Struthio camelus: one gene and its partner. The protein of the gene in region 2 purifies or fractionates together with the protein of the main gene of each other region. This does not show direct contact. Links are inferred from orthologs where the notes say so. Each region holds a gene or a part of one and is shown on either strand. Other genes may lie near its edges.

What was found.
Region 1: the proteins of HDAC4 (region 2) and RUNX2 purify together in Homo sapiens (affinity purification with western blotting; 3 studies listed by BioGRID). This does not show direct contact. The link is inferred for Struthio camelus from reciprocal best matches to the Homo sapiens genes HDAC4 and RUNX2.

Annotation. Positions count from the first base shown.
Region 1 is NC_090944.1:13,669,297-13,677,275, reverse strand, and holds the start of RUNX2 (runt-related transcription factor 2), read right to left. Parts: upstream 3,023-7,979; 5' UTR 1,134-3,022; coding exon 834-1,133; intron 1-833. UniProt on the Homo sapiens protein: Transcription factor involved in osteoblastic differentiation and skeletal morphogenesis. Essential for the maturation of osteoblasts and both intramembranous and endochondral ossification.
Region 2 is NC_090947.1:2,715,355-2,722,243, reverse strand, and holds the start of HDAC4 (histone deacetylase 4), read left to right. Parts: upstream 1-3,877; 5' UTR 3,878-3,969; coding exon 3,970-4,156; intron 4,157-6,889. UniProt on the Homo sapiens protein: Responsible for the deacetylation of lysine residues on the N-terminal part of the core histones (H2A, H2B, H3 and H4).

The DNA of each region.
Region 1 (7,979 bases), on a different chromosome or scaffold from region 2:
GCCCGCCGGAGAGGCGAGGGGCCCGGCCCCCCGGAGAGGGCTCAGCCCCGGGCCCCCCCCGGCCACCCCTCGGGGCTGGGAGGACGGGGCGCCCTGGGGTGCAGGTAGCAGGAAGCCCAGAGCGGGGTGGGGGGGGCACCCATTTCGCCCCCCTACGGCCAGAAGGGGACGAATACCTCCTTCTGGGGAGGAGGGGGGCCGCTAAAAAAAGGCCCCCAGCACGCAGGGAGGCCGGTGCCCGGCGCTGCGCGGTGTTCAGCGGGGGGCGGCACCGCAAATACCGGGATCGCCCCCCCCCCGCCCTCCCCCCGAGGGGCGCGGGCAGCGCGGGGCGAGGCGCGGCGGGCCTTGCGGGGGGGCACTGCGGGGGGGGCACAGGGGGCTTGGCAGGACGGGGGGGGTCACAGGAGGCTTGGCAGGACGAGGGGGACAGAGCAGGCATTGCGGGGGGGGGCTCAGAGGCATTGCAAGGGGGGGCACAGGAGGCATTGCAGGACGGAGGGTGAGAGCAGGCACTGCGTGGGGAAGAGGGGGGGGCGCACAGGAGCGATTGCAGGCCAGGGGGGCACAGGAGCATTGCAAGACAGCGAGGGAGGCAGAGGAGCCGCTGCAGGACGGGGGCGGGGGGGGGTCACAGCAGGCGTTGCAAGGGGAGTAGAGCAGGCATTGCAAGACGTGGGGCACAGCAGACTTTGCAGGACGGGGCGGCGGGGGGGGGGGGGCAGAGGAGCCATAGCAGGCCGGGGGGGGGGCACCGCAGGCATTGCACGGGGTGAGGGGGGGGCAGCGGCGGCTGTGCAGGAGGACGCGCGGCGCGGGGGGGGGGGGCTCACCTTGAAGGCCACCGGGAGGGTCTTGTTGCAGCGCCAGTGCGAGGGCAGCACGGAGCACAGGAAGTTGGGGCTGTCGGTGCGGACCAGCTCGGCGGGGTGGTCAGCGATGATCTCCACCATGGTGCGGTTGTCGTGGGGGCGCAGCCGGGGCACGGCGGCCGCCGCCTCTTGCTGCTGCTGCTGCTGCTGCTGCTGCTGGGCTACTACCACCGGGCTGACCTCGCTCATCTTGCCGGGCTGCAGGCTGCTGGAGGGGGGGCTGAACCTCCGGCTGGTGCTGGGATCTACGGGAATACGCATCACAACAGCCACAAGTTAGCGAATTGGGGGGCGGGCGGGCGGGGGGGGGGGAGCGGCAGGGGGATCGCTCGAGGAGGCGTGTAGTGGGGGGTGGGGGTTGTGGAAAAAAAAAAAAAAAGGCCAAAAAAGGGGTGAATGAAAAAGTGGAGGGGTGAGGATAAGGGGCACCAAAAAAAAAAAAAAAGGCAAAATAGGCCAAAAAAAAAAAAAACCGCAGCAGCAGATTAAATGCACGAGGCAAAAAAAAAAAAAAACAACAACTCAGTCTGTTTGGTTGTTGGTTGCTGTTTTGTTTTCTTTTTTTTTTCCCCCTAAAGCAAGCTGGCCGGGGCGGGGGGCGCTGCAGCCGGGAGCGGCACGGAGGGAGGCTGCGGGGTGCCGGGCGGCCCCTCTTAGCAAAGCCCGGCTGGAGACTGCATGGTCCCGGCTTGTGCACAGCTGCAGAGCGCCGCTTCTCCTCCTCCTTCCTTCCTTCCTTCGTGCACAGTCTCTCTGCTCTTTTCCCTCCTTCTAGCCACCACTTCTTCTCTCAAGTGCTTGAATTTCTTTCCTCTTGTTTTTTTTTTTTTTCCTCTCCTCTTCCCCTCCCTCCCCGTCCTCTGTTCGGATTTTCAAAGGTTGTCTTGGGAGAAGTCAACTAAAGCCGCTGCTTTAGCTTCCTGGGCTGCTGCTGTGTGCGGCCGCCAGAAGAGGAGCGTAACTTTCAAGCGCGGAGAGAGGGGGGGGGTGCTAAGGGGAAATGTCTCGATTTCCTCCGAAGAAGTCTTCCTCCTCCAAACAGACCGAACAAAAATGAAAAGGAGAAGAGGAGCAACCCCAAAAAGCCTCGGCGGGACAGAGTGGAGGTGGCGAGGAGCCGCTCGGCTCCCCCGCTTATTGCCTTTGGCTTCAGGAAGCAGCGGGAAGCCCGAGCTCGGGAAGGGGCTTTGGGAAGGGGCTCTGCGAAGTCGCTCCCCAAGTTATTTCAGCGGGAAAAGAAAGCTGCTGGGCTTCGCGAGTGAGGCGGAAAGTCACCCAGCTAATAATTAAAAGAGCGTATTTAAGCTGGTTCCTTTGGGAGCATCAGGAGTTAAGAAAAGTTCGAACTTCGGATCTCCAGGGGGAAAAAAAAAAAGCGGGGAGGATAGATAGGAGGGGGGAAAACCCCTTTTTTGGCTGATTTTTAAAATATGCCCAAATAAATGCTGAGAAAAGGCAGCCTTGGTGCAGTCCGGTCTTGTTAATTAAGTCGCTGCTGGATCCAAGTCCGTTGAGTTGAATAGGCTAGCAAAAATCTTTCTTTTTTTTCCGCCCTTGATGAACAACAGCAGCAACAAAAAATCATTAAAATGTCGGGTTGTTTGAGTTATTTTTCTTTCTGAAAATCGGATTTAAAAAAAAATAACAAACTTCTTTTGGGTCCCGAGAAGTTGAGGTCGGGGAAGATGAAGGAGCCGAAAAAAAAGCCACAGCTTTTTTGTCCTGAATGTGGTTTTTGGAGGCTGGGATTTCTAATGATTAGGTTTTTGTGGTTTATATATACAGGACTCTCTGGCTAAGGCGATCATTATGCTGATGAGAGTCAGCAGCACGTGGTGCTTCAGTCCTCATCCTTCTGCAGCCTTCAAAATAAATAAAACAATGTGCATCCCCCACAGGAGCAGAAACTTTCCTTTAAGTCGATCTCACCCTCGGGGAGGGGGGACGGGGGCAGGGGAGGGGGGAGAGCAGGAGATTGCCTCCGATCTCTACTTCTCTCCGGGTTTTTTCCATTAACACTTTTTTGCTTGTTTGTTAAAAAAAAAAAGCATGAAAAATCTTGTTTGCAAAAAAAAAAAAATCTAGTGCCAAAGGGTTTTTTTTTTTCGCTAAGTCTCCGGTAGTCTAAAGCCTAAGACATTTCCTTGAATGAATGAAAGCTATAAAACCCCCCTCAGACTGTTAAGGTAAAGGGAGTCTGGTTTGTTTTCTCCCTTAAAAAAAAAAAAAAAAGGAAAAAAAAAAGAAAAAGGGCAGATCTTATTAAAAACAATTTACATACCCAATAGTAAAAAAGTGTAAACGCCTCCCAGTGCAGATAACAACCTATCACAACCCTCCCTCTAATTTCTAAGGCTTTACTTCGACTTGCTGCTTCCACCTTCTTGTAAAAAGTCGGCGCTGCGGGCGTGCTCCTTGCTCGCCGCCTGCGTGTGACTCGGGGCGGCTGTGAGTGTGTGAGCGTGTGTGTGTGTGTGTGTGTGAGAGCGTGTGTGTGTGTGTGTGTGTGTGTGTGTGTGTGTGTGTGTGTGTGTGTGTGTGTGTTTCGGGGGGGGGGGGTATGTGCCCTCGCTATACAGCCTTTAAAACACATAACCGCAGCACGGTGCCCCCCCCAACCCCCCCCCCCCGAAAAGCCGGGTTTGCCCCCGCCTGCCCCGCCGCCTCCCGTGTGAAACCCTAAAGCGCAGCCGAGCGCCCGCAGCCCCGTTGCGGCAGAGCCGCCGCGGAGCTGGCTGCGCGCCCGCGGAGCCTGCGCGCCTCGGCCCGGCGCTGCCCCGGCGCGGGCGGCTCGGCCGCCGGGCTGCAGCGCTGCTCCCGCCTCGCTGCCGGCGGGCGGAAGAAGCGAGCGAGCGACGAGCTCCGCGATCCGGTCGCAGGGGAGAGCTCGCGCTCCGCGCAGCGCGCAGCGCGCCTGCCCCGGCGCGCTGGGCGCATCCCCGGCCGGCGGACACCGACCGACGTCTGCCCGCCGCGGTTTTCCCACGGCTGGAAGGCGGAACAACAGCCCCCCGACCCATTGCCTGGCAGTCATTTACATTTTGGGTTGCTGTTGTTGTTGTTGTTGTTCTTTCTTGTTTCCTTTTTTTTGTTGCTTTTTTTGGTTTGTTTTCCTCGCCAAATGTTGGAGGGCACGGGGAAGTCTTCTCGCCGCTTGCGAAAGCGCAGTGGGCGCGGGCGACGGCGCAAAGCCCCCCGGAGCTCGCCCGCGCCTCCGGCAACGCCACGGGTCTGACTAGTCCCCTGAAGTGCTCGCAGGCGCTTCAAAAAGGACAACCACCCTCCACCTGCAGGGGCTAACATCAGGGATGTTCAGCAACTCTGGTTTGCTATGCTTCCAGTAGCGAAAATATCTTTTTTTTTTTTCCATAATTATTTTGGTAAAAGGTTCATGATCATGGCTTTTTGGCTTTTTTCCCTACTTTAGCTGGAGGGGAAATACATTCCATGAGAGCAGGGGAAAGGTGTTAGAAAGCAGAGGTTGTCTTATATCCAAATACTGTATTAGCCTGACTATTCTGATTTATTTTATTTCAAACAAGAAGATCCATTTCCAGTTTTAATTAGTCGCACTAAAAGTTTTACAGTTGCCTCTCTTCCTACTAAAATAAAATAAAAAGTTAATTAGGATAAGCTAAAGTGAGTTATTGGAAGCTACCAGTGTAAGGTCACTTAAAATAGTCTATGGTTATTTATAATGTAGAAATAAAATTTTCCACTGAACGCCCTGACAAAGTTTCAGGTATCTGGCACAGCTGATTTTCGGTCTCCTAGCAAAAATATCTTTCTGCTGAACATTTACACATTTAACAGGAACTTACTACAGCCTGGAACAGATCACAGCTCAGAGCACTAGAATTTTATTTAAATGGTTATGGACAAATTAATAAAACTACTAGTAATGTTTATGGACTCGCATAAAGGCTGGATGGGATTTTTCAGAAATAGTAATTTATGTTATGATATATATAATCTGGAACGTTGGCTTAGATTTGGCTGAAGTGGAGAGCAACCCTGCTGCTCGGCTTTCCTCAGTTTTTATTTCAGAACTTCTCGGAATTTTAGCACTGGTTGCAAAATGGGTCGTATTTTAAGATTTTAGAGAATCGTTGGAGGTTAGAGAAAATATGTGCTTGCACTGCAAAATATGTCCTAACAAACACGTTCAGATCAACTTTATAAAATAAGATTTTCATTAGTCCAGCTACTTTTCCTGCAATTTTGATTTTTTAGCTTTTTCATTTTTAACCATGCTATGAGTACAGCCATAATTATATTACTTTTTGCCAGGAAGGTAATGTTTTAAACAGCTCAGTGTTTGTTTACTGTTACATTTATAAAACTTGGGCCCAGCACTCTCCCGTTGTGAGCATCATATGCTCAAGATGAAAAATAATTGTCAAATTTGAAAGATTCCAACCTGGATGATGTTTCCTAAATAAACAGTTTTGGTGCCAGTTTGTTGGGCTGGAATGTGCTGTAAATATGATGAATACTGAACTTATTTTGAGCTTCTCTGTATATGTAAATAGCCTTTGTGCAAAGGGAATAAATGAATGGGTTCATCGGGTTTGTTATTGCATTGGGTATTTTTAGTGCGAGTGACTACAGCTATGTCAGCAATTATTACTATAGTTAAGGGTTTGCCACCATTCTCCTTCCAAAAACTACCTTCTCAGAGTTGTTAATTCACTCATGAAAATGTGCATCCAGTTGCAAAACTGAAGCAACTAATTCTACCTAAGCTTTTGCCCAAACTTCCACTCCTTTCAGTGGGAGCAAAATAAGGTCTAATGTCTGTTGGCAGCACTTTACTTTCACTTTGGTTATAAGTTGACTGTTTGCCCAGCTATTCTTTGCTTTTTTAAAGTATGATAAATACTAAGTTTAAATTTGCAAGTTTATTAAGTATTCATGCGGCAACGGGCCCTGTAACTGCAACACTCATATTCAAATAACAATCTGCGGACTGCCTTGATTCGCTTAACTACTGCGTCCCTATCCCACTGATTTATGGCCTAGATAAAAGAAGATTCTTTGTGTCCTGAAATCTGTCAAAAGCATTTAATACTTCAGCACCGTGCACTGATGTTTTTTTAGTGTTTGTAGTCTCTGGCGCAAATGTAAGCACAGAAGTTTGAAAGACAGGATAGGAAATGATTACATTAAAGAATCGATCTTCAGAATATTACTTTTTTTCCCACAGTATTTTCTAGTACGAACTGAGGACTGAGAGCTGAGATTCTTGGGTTCTATTTCAGGATTTGATGCTGACTTGCTCCGTGACCTCAGAAAGTCACTCAGCATCTTTTGGTTTCAGTGTAAAAGGGGGTCATTACTTTTACCACGCACTATGAGATGTAAAAAATACATGCCAAGTTTTCTGAAGTCTAAAGATTAACAGGGCACTGCTAATGTGAAGGATACCAATAACACCAGAAAAAGAAACTCTGATTGCTAATAAGAAACCTGCCATGTTAGGACTGAAAAACTGTTGGCTTCTCCATGACTCGCAGGGAAATAAATGCACATTATACAAACAACGTAAACAGATACCAAAGTCTGGATTTTTTTCTTAATGATTTATATTCTGCTTTTCTAATACAGATAGACTGCAAACCCGGCTCTCAGTCCTTCTGTAGGGTTCTCCCGTTTCCCTCTCTGTTTGCAACCTCTTATGCCTTATTGGAATTCCATGTATTTCAATAAAGCTTAAAGCAGCAAATGACCATATTGTCCTTGGGAAGGGAAAAAATGTGGCCCTACTTGTCATCTTACAATCACTTTTTTAAGAGGAAGTATGGCCTGTCTTTTCTGGCAGTAAAAATCTGAATGTGTCAAATGTTTAAGAGAATTTTGGGCCTTTTTCAAGCAAATTATATATTTTTTTGTTTGTTTGCAACGTGCAAACTAAAAGTTAACTCTGCAAGTTGTTAGTCTCCATAGTTAGGGACAAACTGGCTTTTCATGACGGGATTGACTTTGCCCCTTTCCATTAATCCTCCTCACAACTTCTGTATAACTCATTTCAGAATCAGGAAGAAGAATTTTGTCTTCCTTGAATAATTTCAGGCAAATTCAACACATATTTTTTTGAGATGTAAAGGCTAAAAAAATGACAACTTACATTTTCCTTTTTTTCCCCCCTTCTTGCAGTGAATATAAAAACAGCATGAGCCAGAAACGTCGCGGTTATTTTTTCTGTTGACCTCCATGAAAACTAGTTCCCTTAACTAACTGTGGGGAAAGTGGGTGGTATAACTGTTTGTAATTAAAAAGGGTTTATGCGTTTGGAACCTTGCAGAGTCCCTAAATTTTGCATGCTGGTTTTTAAGAGACTAATGAAGTGCACTCCGGCCAGATACAAGCTCCATAAAGCTCACACAGAAGATACTACAAGATGTAAGCGAGCCTTGGGTGGGTGAGGTAGTTTTTAGCGTTCCCAACCACAAGCAATACAAATTTTTGCATTTACCCTCTAATGTCGCAATGGTGAGGATTCCCCTTGTAAATCTTTTCTTCATAGTCATAAATGGCAGAAAATTTTTTTGGCAGATTCTGTGTTAATAACATGAATCTAGAAGTTGGAGCAATAGAAAAACACCCAACAGTGCAAGACTTGTTCTAAAAATGCTTAAAACATACAACACTGAAAGGGGTGGTGCACTATTCTACAAGAGTGAAATAGAAGAATAAGGCATATGTTAATGGAAAGTGGGAAGTATACATAAAGTAGATGACAGTATACCAACTGTTTGGGGAACTACAACAATCAGTCTATTTTGACCTCTCTCTCTCTGTCCAATGATGAACTGAGCATGGGCAGGCCAAACCAGAGAATCAAGAACATAATCATATTTATGGCACTTGTATGACACAACGTAGTTCTGAAAATGCTGAGCATCCTGATTGCATGTTAGCATAATACACATGTGCCCCAAATTAAGTGTGACCTTAAGACCTTCGCTGTGTGGAACATAACCTAGGATCAATCACTTAGTCGATCACTGTGGCGTTGGCAGCTGTGTTACAGAAGACTGCAACGTCAATCCCAAAACAAGCCATAAGAGCAGATGACAAAACATTAGACATCACATCTAGTAATAA
Region 2 (6,889 bases):
CTTTGTAAACAAAGTCTACTGGTAGAGGAGTAAACTTCGCTGGTGCTGGTTTCAAACAGTGTGTAGTGTGCTTGCAATGAAACCTCAAATTTCACAGCAGATGAAGCCTGCTGAGTAAAATACATGCATCTCCCCTGCTGCTTATATATCTGATTTTTTATAGTAATTCTTTTAAAATTTTTATTTATTTATTTTAAATAGTAACGCTTATTTTCCAGCTTGCTGCCACTGCTAGAAAAGGTGTGCTTTATCTGTGACCTTAAGCGTGGCATAGAGTCAAGAGGATCTGTTTCACATCTCATTCTGGGGCAGCTTCTGTTTTCTAAATCGTTGGGGTCTTTCCCTGGAAAGAAGAGATAGCTGAAAGAATCCACTGGCCTGTTAGACTGATACATAAATCTTTTTTGGCATGCTTACATTTCCCCATCACTTTCCCCCAAAATCCAGCATTTCCAGTGTTTCACCCGGTCTTTGAAGGTAAGTCAACTGTTGCAAGGTTTTGGGGAATGCTAGGGAAATTATCATTGCAGGACATTTTGTCTCAGTGAAGAAGGAATTGGGGCCAGCTTTATGTTCTAGATAGCTATTCAGGATATGTAGCTTCACCTGCTATAGGTCTTCTACTTAAAGATCTTGTTGCCTTATAGTTAGTTGCTCCACACTGGATAAGAAGGACCTGCATGAAATGGGGCTGTAGTCTGTTTTGCATATCCGTGGAACACTTGGAATATGATGATTTTTGGACTGTGTGTCTGATGTATGTTGGAAGAATGTACTGGAGAGAGATGAGTTTAGATGTTGTAAGGAGAGAGTAGCTGGGGATGTTCTACTGTGAATATTAGAAGATGAGGTAGTTTGATCTCTGACCAATGCTAGTTTAGGCTTTTATACTGTCTTGCATCTAATGTTTTTTCCTTACAGATATGATGCATTGCCTGTGTGCACAATCCTTGCATTTATAAATTTCTTACTCTGAGTATTCATGGAGTGCAGATGTTCATAAAACAGACATTCATGTCTTGAAAAATCCTCTAGCCTGTGGTGAATGGGAAGCTTTCCCAGGTAAGCTAGAGAACCAGTTTCTGAATAAATGAACCTTTCATCATTTAAGGAGGAAAAAAAAAATGCTCTGATTGATGCACAGAGTGCCTTCCAAACGTGAACACAGGGTAGACGAATGCAGGGCTGTCTCCTCTGCAGCCGAGCTCTCCTGCTTAAGCAATTGGAAGCTTCCTGCAGGAACTCATTGGAGCGGTGCAGGAAAAAAGGCATGGGATGTAATGATTTGTTGGTGTATGTGCAAACTGTTTGTCCAGTGAATACAAGGATCTGTTCAACCTGAAGCAGTATCAGTGCCTAATAGAGTTTTCACGATATAATGGGAGTTACTACTACTGCTAAATGTTTACGGATATGCATATGCAAATATCTGTATGTATCTCCTGTGCAGAACAAAGCATCTTGTCTCTGTGCCCCGTTTGTCAGAGCGGAGGTGAAGGATTGAAGTGATGTTGGCGAGGACAACACTGGTTAATCAGAATGGCTCCTGTGCACGAAAATATTTTGCTTATTATAAGACAGAGCGATAGATTGAATTGAAGTTACTCTTCTGAAACGTAAAATGAAAAAATGCCTCACAGCAACTCAGTGTTAAGAGTTGGGCTATGAAGTGGCAAATAACTTCTCACAAACTGTGGAGGTTGCAGCAATACATCTGTAGAGCCTGTATTAACTTGGGAGATGTAGAAGTGGAAGAGCTTTCTGCACACATGAATAAGGTGGTGGCTTTCAGGTGTAGAGGGTGTAATACTGGATCTGCAGATACTTCTGTTCAGGTAGGCAAGCTGCTTTAATACTGACTTGTCAGTTGGGACACTCTAGGTTTTAAAACAAAAGTTTGGATGAAATCTTTTGAACTGCAAAAGATGTCAGGGATGTGAACATATTTTCCTGAAAAATATAATGCCCTTAGTTTCAGTTACTGTATTTAAAATCGATGAAATTTGTGTTGGATTTGTGGATATTTGAGTGATCAATCTCTGCAATACAGCATTCTTAGCTTTTCTGTTCAAAGAAACTTTGGTTTAAATCTGATGTTCTTGAAGGTGGGCTTAGGTGTTAAAACTCTGATCTGCGTTCTGTTCCATGGAGCATGGCCTTGGAATTTAACCATGCTTTCTACAGCTCATTTTGGAGTAAACTCATATTTCAAGGTGTTTATATTTGAATTCATTGCAAGAGAGCTTCCAAAAATAATTTTGTGTTAGGTGAATGTATTGTGCTACTGCCTCCACTTCAAGTGATGAGGCTTCTCTAACAATGCTCAGTATTAACTTTTCCGTTTGCTTGTTTACTGCTGCTTTTATGTGAATTCCTTAAAAGGCTCTTGAAATGTATCTCTGGTTGTTCTTTTGGAGTTTGGGAAATCACAAGTGCTTTAGTAGAATGCTGAGATTTAATTAAACTCTGTAGGATGGCCTTCCAGCCTTAGCCAATTTCACTTCCTTTCTCTGGAACGACTCTTTCCTGCAATGTGGTTGCTAGGCTGCAATGTTCATGTTTTTTTCATCTCTTTTTCTCTGAGGAACCCTGTAGCCAGGAAAGCTGAGCTGCGCAAAGACCCAGCAACTTGTTACAGGGGACAGTCGTCCATGTCCATGCTTAACTGCAGGTGTTCACTTTGTGATAAAGACCACAAAGCTAACCTGCTATGTAGACAAATGAATTGTTACAACCAGTGTTGAAAACCTGCTATCCAGTGGTTGCATTTATTGCAGTCTGCTCCGCTCTGCAGTATGTACCTTGTATGCTTCTCTTCTGAGGTCTTGAAAAGCAGAATTGAGTTATCTTGGCTGTGGAAATAAAGTGAGCAGGAGGGAACTTCGAAAGAGACGGGATAGTCCTCTGACTGCATCAACTGGTTCTCTCTGCTTCAGTTGCAACAGATCTATATTCCATATTGCTCAACAGGCAGTGTTTAGGTAAGCATGGATTTTGCAATGCACAGCCAGCAAAATTAAACTGCAAATCACTAATGGGAAAACAAAGTGTATGGGTGTCATTGCCCCTTTGCGTGCCTGCTGCCCCCCTCCCCCTGCCTCCGGCTTCTAATTGTGGATGAAAAGTGAGTTTCAGGGCCCCAAGCTCTGAATATCTGCTAACTAAACTCCAGCCTCAGTTCTCTTCTTTAAGTTGTAATTAAATTTTAAAGTGGAGAAATGATAAGTAATCTTAGTGTAGTGGACACTCCTTATACTGTAGAATTATATTGGAGCTGCTGGGTCCTGCTCCAGTGAAGCTCTGAAAATCTAATTGATTTAAAACCTATGAGGAGTGTACTGGCTGATGCCAGCTAAACACACATATAAGTGTCTCATTTTAACAGCTTGACAGATTCATTTCTACCTGTTTATAGCAGGTTCCCAGACTTTGTTTGCTCAGATACCATAGTCAGGGTGATGTGGTGTAGCGGGTGGCAGTGGCCGTTGCAGGATGTCAGGCTGCCTGTGTATGCAGGAGATGTGTTTCCTGCCCTGTTCCTGGTATGGAGGTGGCAGTGGTGGTAGAGGCAGCTCCCTGCTCCTCAGTGAGCCTCAAGTGACAAATAAGTGCAGAAGGATTTTTTTTCTCTCTTCTGAAGACAGTTGCCTACATTTCATTTGTGTGCTAGACAGTTGCCTGCATTTCATTTGTGTGCTGTGCCTCAGTGATCGGTGATAAAATCATGAAGGTGAGTTTTGCCCCGAACGAGGCATACTTCTGACGGCACCGCATATGAAATAGTGCTGTACAACGCATGTGGTTTGCCATGGACCTTTGACCACCTCACCCCTTGATCTCTTCCCGGTAGTCAGCCTGTATTTCTGGTGCTCCCGACCTGAGCAGTGATCGCTGCAAGAACGTTCGGTCTCAAGCGGGGCTCCAGCTTCCAACTGCAAGCATGAATTTTCCACCGTCTCAAAAAGCAAAATGCTTCTTCTGACATTCACGGATTGGTCCGGTACTAGACTGTTTGAGGCCGATCTGTTTGCCACCCTTCAAAGCGATATGTTAGAATCCTACAGTGTTGAAAAGAGAGCGGTGGTTAATTTTGGGCACGCTGCATTTGCTTCCATGGCACAACATAGTTGTATCTTCTCTGCAGGGATGCAGAAAGGTAAGGATACGTTTTCGGGAAATAATAACCCAATGAAGTAGAAGTAATACATTTACAGGAAGTGGACTGTCCTTTTTGCAAACTTGGTATGCAGATTCTGTTTTCAGTAAGAAAATTCAAAAAGACTAGTGCAGATATGCTTAAGCCGGGATTTATAGTTAGTGAAATTGAGAAAAGTGGCTTTATGTTCTTTAAACTGCAGAAGAATAGCATGGAAACAGATTAGCATGCTGTTCTTCTGGCTGTATACAGCTGCATGCAAAAGCTTCAGCAGCTGTATTTTCTGAACATCTTTACAAAACTCACCTAGAGTTTCAAGTTAAAGACCTTGCAGCTGCTAGCATTTTTGCTGTTTGATAGCAGCTGCTGTATTGACAAGTACATTTTTATCATGGGAGATGCTAATGGAGTGGGAATGAGCAAGGAACAACTGTTTATATAATCCCGTGCTGTATAGATCAATTACCATGAAAACAAGCCGTTCAGTTGTCTGCAACAACATGCACCTTGAACTGTTTCATGCTATAAATAGTGGTAATGCTGAACAGCATTGTCTTCCAAGAAGTGTAAACCGAATTGCCTTTGTGTTCTTTTGGTGTAAGCACGGAAACGTGAAGCTGCTCGGTTAAGTCAAAGCAGTTCCCATAGCAGTGAAAAGAAAGTGTCATGATAATCTCTCTGCCCCTGTTCATTGCTACTACTACTACTAATTTCATGTATAAAATCATAACACCTCCCCTCTCCTTTCTTCCCCTAACTGCCAAATTAGTATTCAAGCACTATGAATGAGTTACCAGGCAGCAGTCTTCTAGATGTCTTGTAGAGACTAAAACGTTTTGTGCTTGTAGAAAATGCTTATCAGATTTATGCGAAACATTCCGAGTTAGTGATTGTTTCAGTTCTGATTAAAGCTGCATGTGTAAGAAACACGCTTGGAGTCAGCTCTAAAGATGCATATTGGCATGGCAGTCACAATACTTGCTATGTTTAAGCGGCTCGCTTTTCTTTACCAAAGGCAAGACTGTTGACGGTCGTGCAAAAAAACCCAAACAAACCGGTGCTAAGTTTCAGCTACACAAAGTACAGAAGAGTTGAGGTGTTGCAGCCTTGAACCACAGTATGTGTAGTGATACCTGTTTTTTCAGTTGCTTTGTCCTATTTTTCCTCTTAGTCTAGTGACTCATTTTACAGGCAATAAAGCTTTCTTTTTTTTTCCCGGGTCATACTGTGAGCTCTACTTTCATGATAACCTTTTTACAGCCAGGTAAAGATATTGATGACCATGTCAAGGACTCTAAAATAGATGTGCCTTTGCTTCCTTCCAGTAAATTGGACCATTTTCTTTACACCGCAGCTGGGATTTGGGAAGGTCTTACAGGAGCGTTCTCACTGGAGATGTTGGACAGGGGAGTCCTAGGTTGGTGTTTGCTGTGCTGTGGGATCATCTGTTCTGACAACTTCCCTCCCCAATGGCAAGTTAGCACAAACAACTTTTCTTCTCCTAATCATCATTTCTTACTCCTTCCTGTATTTCTTTTTCATGTTTGAAGTGTTTCTAAAGCAGAGGTTCCCTAAGGTCGGAGAGAAGAGCTCAAGCAAAATCTGTTAGGGGTTTTGATTTCAAACACCATTGTTGCTTTAAATTACAAAAAAAAAAAAAAATCCATACCTCTGATTTGATAATCCTAAATTATCCGTTTGGAACTCATGCAGAGGTGTGAGCATGGCTCCTTGTACTGGTATCTCTCTCATCTGTCATTTTGTTTGTTACTATTAGATATCGCACTTGGCAATAAATTATGTAGTTCTGTCCTTGCTGCTTAACAAGTTCTTGCCAATTCTTAGTGTTAGTTAAGGGGTAAAAAAAAAAGAAAAGAAAAAGAAAAAAGAAAAAACCCACCTCCCTTTTGAATATACTTTACGTATTTATGTCACATAAATGTTTTATTGACTTTCGTCTTTAAAAGTCTGCATTATTCACAAGTGGTAAAGCTGTAAGAGCTATCCTGGTCATTGCAAACAAGTGTCAATAAAACCTCCAACCACATTAGTTTGTGTGTGCTGTACTTTGCTGTACTTTCTTTCTTTCTTTTTCTTCTTTCCCCATAAATTTGAGCCCTTTCCAAAGAAGACAGGTACTTGGGAGAGGGGCAGGTAGCTATCACTGTGCAGGATTTAAAAAGAAGCGAATCTCAGCTAGAAAGGAGAACCTTTCTAAATGAACAAGACAGCTTTTTTTTCCCTACTTGTCATTAGAACCGTTTGTTTCTAAACAAGCCCGTTCCCACCGCCTTCATGCCAGGAAAACAAAACGAAACACTCAAAAACCAGATCCCCCAAACCTTGAGTTGTTCTGTGGCATGCATGTAAAGCCTGTAAACTTCTCTTGTTGCCAGTACCTAAATATTGCGAGTAAGCTCTTGGGCTGCCTTTTGGTTTGGAAAGGTGCTTTTAGACTTTTTTTTTTTTAATGTACAAAGAAACTATGTGTATGTGTAGCAGGATGCCAGTCTCATCTGGAAAACTGTGTTGAGGGAACTGAGAAGCACGGTTCAGATAGGCTCTGTTTAAGAGAACTATTTTTAAAGTGTATTCTTCAACTGTGTTAAACTTTTTTTTTTTGTTCAAGCCTTCATTTATATCCTGGAAAGAGCACTAATTCAAAATAAATACCAGAAAATACATCTCGGATGACATTATATCTTTTCTCTGCTAAAAAATGGCCAGTGTAAA